Linked DNA regions of Drosophila melanogaster. The gene in region 1 interacts genetically with each later gene. Each region holds a gene or a part of one and is shown on either strand. Other genes may lie near its edges.

Region 1 (4,722 bases):
GCAACGTTTGCCGATCGGATAAGGGCCACCCTAGGCCCACAAAACAACAAAAAAAAAAACTCACTTTTCTGGACGCCATATCGATGGTTTTTCTGTTGGTTGATAGGGATCGCTGTCGAATGATCTCGAGTTGTAATACTTTAGTGGGGGTGCTTAATACTGAACACTTGATGGCCCGCTAATTACACAATTCCTGGCGTGGCGAGCACGTTTCTCTCTAAAAAAACACAACACAAACACGACTGGCAAATCCTTCGTTTTTTTTCGTAAACAAATTTCAGAATTTCTTTCTTTTGGTTTTGAAAATGTGTGCACGAAATGCGCGCGTTGCTTTCGGGTTCTTTGCTACACGTACTCGTACTGGCCGCGACAATTTCTCAACTCGACTGAGTTGTGTGCGCCTCCTTGCTCAAAGTTTTTATGCAGCCAAATGCTCGCCGCTTATTGCTCAATTTCTTTATTATTATTTTCTCAGATAAATCATACAGACGGGGATCATCTTAAGTAACTCCCTAAGCAAATATTAGGTAACGCTTATAGGTTATAATTCCAAAAGATACTTTCTACACACTCCTACTGGTTGACAGATAACAAAGGTTTGCCTTCGATTTTTTCTATTATTATTTCAAGTTGGAAATGAAATTAGAATACAATATTATTATGTATATCATAGTTATAGTATAAAATATAAAATTGTGGTTTGTATTTTTATTTTTTTCAGATCATATTAAATAAATGAATACATTTCTCACAAGTTTCTAAAAGTGCATCCTCGTCTGTCAAAGGTCTTCAATACATAATTTGTTCAATATTTATCTCGCTTCATGTTTTGTGTTGTGTTTTTGGTATTGCGTGTGACGTTGACTCGGCGTCGCAGTCGCAGTCGCAGTCGACGTCGACTGCACTCTTGACTCTGTTTGGCAGGTTTTTGGCGACGCTACCACATGAGACCCCCCAGTCCCCACCCACCGCTTGCCCCGCAATCCCCCCCCACCCCCTGCAACTCATCACAAATGTGATTTTCGACGCGCAGCTGATTTTGTTGTTATTCTTTTCATAGAACTGGTTGCCGTCTTTTGTGTTTTATGTTTTTGCTTCAATCTTCTCTGCTGCTGGTCACAATTGAAAGTGCCTCCTGCAAAAATGATTGGCTTTTGGCCATCTCTGGCGGTCGCCCCAAGTACATTCCGCATTTCCCCGTCATTTGACTCACGAGGCGCTGATAAAGAATCCCAAATCGGGGGATCGTAGAACCCGTAGAACTCTTAAATGAAAAGCATATGTACAGTTGTATGTTGTTTATTCTTGTGAGATGACTAACTAGCTCCGGCCAAATCAGCTGTCATAAATTCCTCGATTTTATTTGGCTTGAATGTTTATGCTCGTTTGAAGATAAAACGCAGCAAGAGCACGCTAAATATATCAAACAATTTTATTCTGATTATCTGATTTCAGTGCTATCATGGCGCTTAAAAGGGGTTTTAGGAAGTCTTAAGTGATCTACCAAAATCAATCCGTAAAATAAAATTAAGAAAACTAAACTATAGTCACCATTTTTATGAACTTCAAAAAACCAGTAAGAATTTTAAGATCTAATTATGCTTAGATATGAAACACCATTCATAACAACTCTGTACTAACATTTCTCAAAACCTATTTAATTTCCGTGTGAACGCGCAGCGCGTGTACTTTTAAACAAATTTTATTTTTATTGACCATCATTATTCATGGCGTTTGAATTAATTCAACAGCTGCTTGGGCTGTTAAAATCTCTTGTTGCGCATACGCCCCGTTGCCGTCAAGTAATTTCACGTGCCAACGCTTTATTTAGCTTTTCCCGATTCGGCACTGTTACTTGGATATTTAGAAAATAATTGGAATATAATAAACAATGGCACAGTGGGCTTTCAAATGAATCATACAAAGTCTTCTGAAAATTTCAAAATTTTTAGATACAACAGCTGGTGATTAATTTGGCAATAGAATATGAAAAATAAATATTAGTTAAATATTAGGCTTTTTATTGAATATTTGGCATTTGCCCAACTGTTTTAAGGTATTATTTCTTTAAACAATTGAAAATAAATAAGATAAGAAGTATATAATTGATAAAATTGTATCTATCGTTTATTAGTTTGTATTAATGCCGGCTAAAATGAGGTTCTTAACGATCTTTGCGTTGTTTTGCGTCTTGGCAGGCTGCTATTGCTCTGACTCAACTACGTCATCCGGATATTATTGGGACCCATACTCATCATCTTGGGTTCCGTACGGAGATTCTACCACATCGTATCCCTACTGGGAGGATACTACAACATCTGCACCTGTTGCTTCGTCAACTTCCAGGTCTCCATGTGATGGAAAAACCCAAGGACCCTGCACAAATCTGCTAAAGGGTGCACAAAAGGTTTATGTCTTCTATTAAAAAATCACTTAAACGTGTACGCCTAGTTAAATAAATCATTTGGGAAATACATATGCCGGGTCCCCTTAGGTACTATACCCCGCAGATACCCCAGGTGCGGCAGAGCATGCGATTGAGGCTAAATAAAGATCAGAGGCTCTATTAACATCTGGTGCCCGACAGATAAATGCACTTTACGCTCTCACAACTGAACATTTAATGGCTCTTTCTTTGGGATCCAGCAAAGAGGCCTTTCATCGTCTGAATATATCACGAAATGGCAACGCCTTGTACGCAATATTTCAAACTGAAATTCACATAACACAAAATATTCTATTTTATTTTTGGTAATATATTTATTCGAACGGTTTTTTTTTGGCCGTATACTTTTAGCGCAATATTCATCGCTCTTGGTAAGAATGTAAAATACATTGCAAAGTCGTTTTGCCTTAATTGGGAAAATTATTTCACATACTTTGGCATTTTCACTGGATTTAACATAATTTTTTCCTCGACTTTGCACAAGTTGCGAAATTTCACTTGTTATATATTGCTGTATATATAAAAATATGAGCAAGACACGCGTCTACATATAGCTCACGGATTGCGTATACGCCGCGTATTCCAAGAAAATTCGAGGCCCGCACCGCACACGTCCAAGTCAATACAGCAACTGAAAATCTTTTTCAAAATGCCAAGATACAGCCCACAACTGAGAGTTTTCCCGGTTGTTTTTCCCCCATCTGAACAGCGAGTGCCGATAGAAATATTTTCAGAATTTCCATGCGCCGTGAGCGATTTGTGTCGAAATTTTTCTCACAACTCAAATCATGACTAAGACCACGTCTGTCTGGGTCTACCTGCTACCAATTAGATCAGGACGACACGTGTGACCAGTGCGACACTTCTCTTCTTCCGAAATAAATCAGAAAACGGCGGGTGGCTGAATCACTAAGACATTCCGGCTGTCCGACTGAACGGACTCCTGGCTGTGGGCCAAGAATATCACTTGCCTCCAGAAACATTAAAATAATTCACCACTCCCGCCAAAAAACAAGTGAACTACAGCAACCCAAGTAATTAAAAAAATAGAGGATGCCCCGTACAGAATGATCCCTTACGAGTGACCCGTAGAGGATACATCCTGCCCTTCGTTTTCAGTTCGACTTGCACGCGATTTGTTAGCGGCTTCTTGGCGGCTTGGTGGCGATTTGTGTGCGGCTTTGGTGCGGGTTTTATGCGGTTTTGGTGCATGTTTGGTGATATTTGATACAAGGCTGGCAGTTTGGGAATTATCTTATGTTTAAATGGCTTAATAAATTAATAAATTATTTACAGCATTAAGGAATTACATTATGAATTGAGGTTCTTTAATGAGTTCAAATGTTTTTATCCATCTATTGTCTGCTGGTTGACCTGTGCACATTTGCCATTGCCACTCATCGTTTGTCGCATCCAGTCGCGGTAGTACATTATATTCATGAATATATCAGGCACACCCTGGGCGCAGGGTACAAAGAAGTTGAGTATGCCCACCAGGGTGCCCTGGTGAACTAGAGGACCTCCAGAATCTCCGTGGCAGGCTCCAATATTTGCCTGACGATAAGCACAAATATGGCAAGGTCCCAGTTCCAGATCCTCGTAGGCAGACATCATGGACTCGCAAGCCGGGGAGTTGAGGTGTTGCTGCTGGACACGCTGCAACTGCGATGGCAACGACCCCGCCGCTGACTGAGATCCCCATCCGGTGAAAACCAGCTCCGAAGCTCCTCTTGGAAAAGGGGATGTGGGTAGTTCAACCGCCTGAGTTAGTGCGTTAAAGGTAATGCTCTCGTTCAGGTGGAGCAGGCCAATATCATTCTGGTACTTGGGACTGTCATAGTTGCAGTGCAGGTAGATGGCGTCTGGGTAATAAACAGCTCCTGGTTCCGCATAGCGAATTGTACCAGTGGCCACTTGAAGTCTGCTAGTCGGGTATCCTTTGACACAGTGACCAGCCGTAATTATCCATCGGTCCGATATGATGGCACCACCGCATAGGTGACTACCCAAAAGAGTTTGGAGCGACACCTGGTAGGGGGCATCTCCTTCAGCTGCATTCTGGCCACCCACAATGAAGTGCTCCAATGCCAATAAGTCACAGTAGAGTGAACTGAACACGAGAATATAAAATAGGAAACGTGCAAGCGACATGGCTGAAATGCAATCGCGGACTGAGCTAGTCTGGTTTTACCCTTCGCGATTTTGATTGAACTATACGAAAGTCAAAATGGCCTGACCAAAGGTTCCAACAATCGCGCCATAAACTGATTTTTTAT
Region 2 (4,582 bases), on another chromosome or scaffold:
CAGGACATACAGCAAATCGGACGGAGGATAAAACAAGAACCAAAAAGAAAGATACAAGGCACAAATACCGAAAGACAAGTAACTCACCACGACGGGGGGTGTCGCCGGAGGTGAAGGTGGATAAACAGGAATTTCTGCCTGTTCTGTTTTGATTTTTCGCTATCTCTCTCTTTCGCTCAGCTGCTTCTGCTTCTTCGGTTTGTTTATGTGTAATCCTTTTGTTTCTTTCGATTTTGGCGCGCAATTTTCCTTTTTTTTATTGCTATTGTTTTAGTTGTTGCTAATTACTAATTTGCAATGCAATTTTTCAAAACACGCGAAGCCGTTTTGTTGTGGCCGTTGTTATTGTTGCGTTGGCCGTGTGATTGCGGTTATAGTTGTCGTTGCGTTGTTGTTGGTTGTTGCTAGTTGCTGTTGTTGCTTTTGCAACTTTTTCACAATTTGCATTTCACGTATTTTTGCAGCAGCTTCGACGACTTTGACTTTGTTGCACAAACACAGGCGGAAAAACGGCCACACACTAACGAACTGAAAACAACAAAACAATCCGAGGAAGCTGCTGGCGTCTCTTTTCCTTCGATTTTTTCCCAAGATTGCCAATCCGATTTTACTGCCTGATTTAGTGTACTTTCGCGAATCTATAGTTATTTCCGCAGCCAGTCATTCAAAAACGAAAATGTAAACGAAACAGTGGGTTTACATTAATATATCATCACATAAATATGGGTTTTTTTGAATCCCAAAAGCATCTCGTGTTACTTAGCGCGACAAATCGGTTTCCGACGTATACTCGTTCGCTGAGATGTTATTCCACAGTGGTATTTAATTTGTTTTTACTCTTCATGCGAGGAAAGCACCGTACGCGCACGCTGCTCAAAACGGAATGAAAACAAGAGCTGTCGCATCGTTTCAGCCGAAAAATACCGAAGCATGCTGAAACTTCGAAAAATACCGCAAGCGAGAAACGATGTTTTTTCATCTATGGCAAGTCGACGTCTATTACCCTTTCGATTAATAGAAATAAAATATTGCATATTTATTGAAGTAACGAAGTTTGTTGCATCCCAGAGTTTTGTTAAGGCATAAATAAAGTTCCATAAGCAATTTAAAGACTATTTAATTAAATTGATTTCTAATTGGCATATGAACGAACATTTATTGGTCGTCCAGTTTAGAGTACATATTTATGTACAAATCGAAGTAAATTTTTTATAATATTAACGCACGGTTTATCAATGGCACAAACCATCAGCGATTCCCAAGCCATCCATTTTTAGCTATGTTATAGCTATAGAAAAAGCAATCACAAGCAAAATTAAAGATAATAAACAATATTAAATTTAAATGGCCTGAGAACAGTGGAATGCATTTTTATGACAGGCTTTCGAACTCCGTACATAAAGTACATTTACCGTACCGACCCAACAAAGAAGTGGCGCCGATAAGCACAATATTTAAAAACCGATAGGCACACGTTATTTGACTTTTTGTCTGCAAAAGCTTTCTCGTTTTAAGGAGCTTTGATTTTGGCATCACCTGCAACAAAAGCGGTTTTCAGTTTAGTTAGCCTCTTTCTCACAAACAAGTCGGTTGTTTTTGCGCTGTTGGAGGAGTGAAATTCTTAGCCGCGCTATTGTTTTTGTTGTTTGCGTGGCGTTGTGTTTATAACAATAACAACAAGTGATTATCACTGGAAGACATGTTCTGTTCAAGTAGCTAAGCATATGGCTGGCTAAGAAAAAAAACACAAGGGTTATAACCCTTTTTTGGCCGAAATACGAGACTGTCCTCCGGGGTTACTTCATTCGGTCTGTTATTTTGGCCACCTCCCAGTTCCTTCAAAATGGTTCGGTGGAGCGCGCGGTCGCGGCGCCAAGCTCGCCAGGATAAAGTGGAGCTATTGGCCAGAAACAACAAAGTGAATGGCGAGGACGATACCTCCGATAACGGTACGTGCCAGGGGTGTCCTCAAAAGGAGAATTTTAAGCGAAGTTCATACGAAATTCCAAACTATCATTTTATTGTTGTTTCTTTTTCCTTTAAGGCTCTGTTAATAAAGTTTTAATTTTGAAGATTTCAGTTGTTTAAATAGTTAAAAGATTTACAAACTAAATATTTCAATTCATATTCAAAAAGTGAAACGAGACAAGAGTTATGTTGCATTTCAGTAAGCCTGCTTGAAGTAAATATAATGATTTGTACTCATAGCTAAGAATAATCTGAAACCTGTTTGAAGATATGCGGTCTTTAAATGTATTTACAATAAATCGATAACAAAGAATATGATTATAAAACGAAAAATCAGATGCATGTATATCTAAATATTTCCCTCTAGAATTCCATCATTGTATGAATTGTATGAATTGAAAAGGGTAGCATTAAGCTGCCAAAACGAATGTCATTTCATCTGTTTCCGATTGTCATTTAACGACTGCGATTAATCTAAAACACTTTCGCTCCGTTTTAGCCGCCTTTCGCAACTCGACTGACCTATCCGACCACGATGAGATCTTCCTCAAGGGATTGCTGCGTAGTAACTCCAACACGCCCCACAAGGAACTGATGGCAAGTAGACCAGAACATATAAACGTAAAAAGGCGAGAGAAAATATCTCTGTACAATTTCTGACCCACTTAAACGCCTTCGAGCATCTGCTCAATAAGAAAATTGCGCATACGGTTTTCCACCCATTTTCCATACCCAGCCACACACACGCACACACTTTCCACATTTGTGTTTACTTCATCGATGGCATTGCATGCTGATTTTTCGGTCTAGATAGAATTTTCCGGGCTGCTTGTATGTGCGTGTGTTTGCTTTTCTTATTACATCATTTTCCTTGCCTCCACAAGCGCCAAAAAGAAAAGAAAATCCTTCTGTATTTTAAAAGATTTTCTCGCTTTAGCCATGCACTGCAATTGTTTTTTTTTTTTTTTTTGACTTCGTAATGGCCCATTAGCACTTGCTATTTTATTTTTGCCTTCCTCTTTTGAGTTTTCGCACTAAACTTGACCTCTATTGCCTCGGCAGATGAGTTGCCTTTATGCAGATGGGAGGCATTTTATTAGATCATCGTGACATAACCATTGAAGTGGAAATTATCTTGACCCGACACATTTAGCGCCTCCTCGAAGGTTTCTTACGGTAAAAGAACTGCCAAAAAGTTTGTAGCCTAATCAAATTGTAAATATTATTTGCTGTTCCTGCGGCAAACACGCAGGTCAACTAGAAAAACAATGAGAGGCAGTTACAACCAAAATTAAAACGAATTTGTTGTGCTCTGTATACAAGAAAAATAACAAAATATTTTAATTAATTTTTAAAAATTAATTTTCAAAATTGAAGATGCCCTTTCTAAGATGTAAAGTTATTCTGTTGGCGAATAATAAAGAAGTGGGGAATTAAATAGTATGTAAAAAATAGGCGTAAAACAATGATTATTAAGACCCAAACTAGCAGTACGGAAAAGCCAAATACAACAAATATTATGGAAAGCGACATCGTGTGACGACGACCATAATTAGAATCCAACATTTTCCGAGGCATTTTCCTGGGCAGGCTCATTCGTTTGTGGTTTTCTGCTGTGGTCGGCGGCTGTTGAGAAAGGCAGTGAAAGTAATTAAGCCACGAGTCACGAGATAAGAAAATATGAAATGTCACTACCAGCTCCCCTGTTTTCCTTTCCCCAACTCGCCTGTCGTCACCGCTCCTTGGAACACTCCCCCATTTTATGCAGATTACATAAAACTCGACGCAAGTCGCCGTGCCAACTCTTTGACATCAACGCCCCAAAGAAGTTGTGTGTATTTGAGTGTGAATAAGGAAACCGGTTTGGAAACATTTTCCAACGTAAACACTACGCTTTTTATGCTACCTGCGCTCGAAAACGATGCACAAAAAGCGCCCAGCTCGTTGGCCTACTAATGCAGCTGTGGTCGGGAGATCGAAAAAGCTTGCTATAAGATGCTGTTAAGATCACTGAAGTAGTTGGTAAAAACATTGCAAAGCATGTTATAGCCAAACTTACTTATTTAAGGTTCTGTTTTACTGAACAAAGTATAAAGCTAGTTAAATAAATATGTTTCAGCAACATTTGAATTATAATATTTGGAAAGCTAAGATCAGATTATTTAATTTCAGTATAACATTTAACAGAACATTTTAATGTTGGTTATTGTTATATTTTAGATATACCCCAAGTATGTACATATTTGTATTTTAAAAAGTTTTCTACAGTTTCAAATGGTTTTCATTAACAGAAAGAGAGGGCGCGTCACTGCTGGTTTTAAGTCACTGTTAAGTACAAGCTAACATGTGGATAACAGACTGCGTACAGTTGTAACTTGGCTCACGCGGAGCTTTTTTCACGGCAAGCCAGCGGCAAGCGAACTGAGCAGCAAACAAAGCTAGCCCTAACTTGCTCACTAGCTCTCGCCGCTTGCTTCCATAGCTCGTGAGTCAGTTAGTTGCGAACAGTGCTAAGGTGAGGTTCACATTCCGGTTTGAAACGCGCGCTTCGTTGGTTTCGGCCCATTCGAATGAGTGAGCATTGGTGCCTGACTGTAGTATAGGTGTTTTCACG

What was found. Genes that interact genetically often act in the same process or in processes that back each other up.
Region 2: of cher (region 1) and vari, changing one enhances a phenotype caused by changing the other (phenotypic enhancement), as found in Drosophila melanogaster (one study listed by BioGRID).

What each region holds. Positions count from the first base shown.
Region 1 is NT_033777.3:17,122,334-17,127,055, forward strand, and holds the start of cher (cheerio), read right to left. Parts: upstream 3,057-4,722; 5' UTR 2,906-3,056; coding exon 2,880-2,905; intron 2,454-2,879; exon of another isoform or gene 2,426-2,453; coding exon of another isoform or gene 2,156-2,425; exon of another isoform or gene 2,144-2,155; intron 350-2,143; exon of another isoform or gene 80-349; coding exon of another isoform or gene 65-79; intron 1-64. Other genes in the region: CG45079 (uncharacterized protein), read left to right, coding at 2,156-2,425; CG17477 (uncharacterized protein), read right to left, coding at 3,794-4,597. UniProt on the Drosophila melanogaster protein: Involved in the germline ring canal formation. May tether actin microfilament within the ovarian ring canal to the cell membrane. Contributes to actin microfilaments organization.
Region 2 is NT_033779.5:20,794,020-20,798,601, reverse strand, and holds the start of vari (varicose), read left to right. Parts: upstream 1-1,559; 5' UTR 1,560-1,843; coding exon 1,844-1,949; intron 1,950-2,467; coding exon 2,468-2,565; intron 2,566-3,346; exon of another isoform or gene 3,347-3,594; intron 3,595-3,663; exon of another isoform or gene 3,664-3,796; intron 3,797-4,455; exon of another isoform or gene 4,456-4,542; intron 4,543-4,582.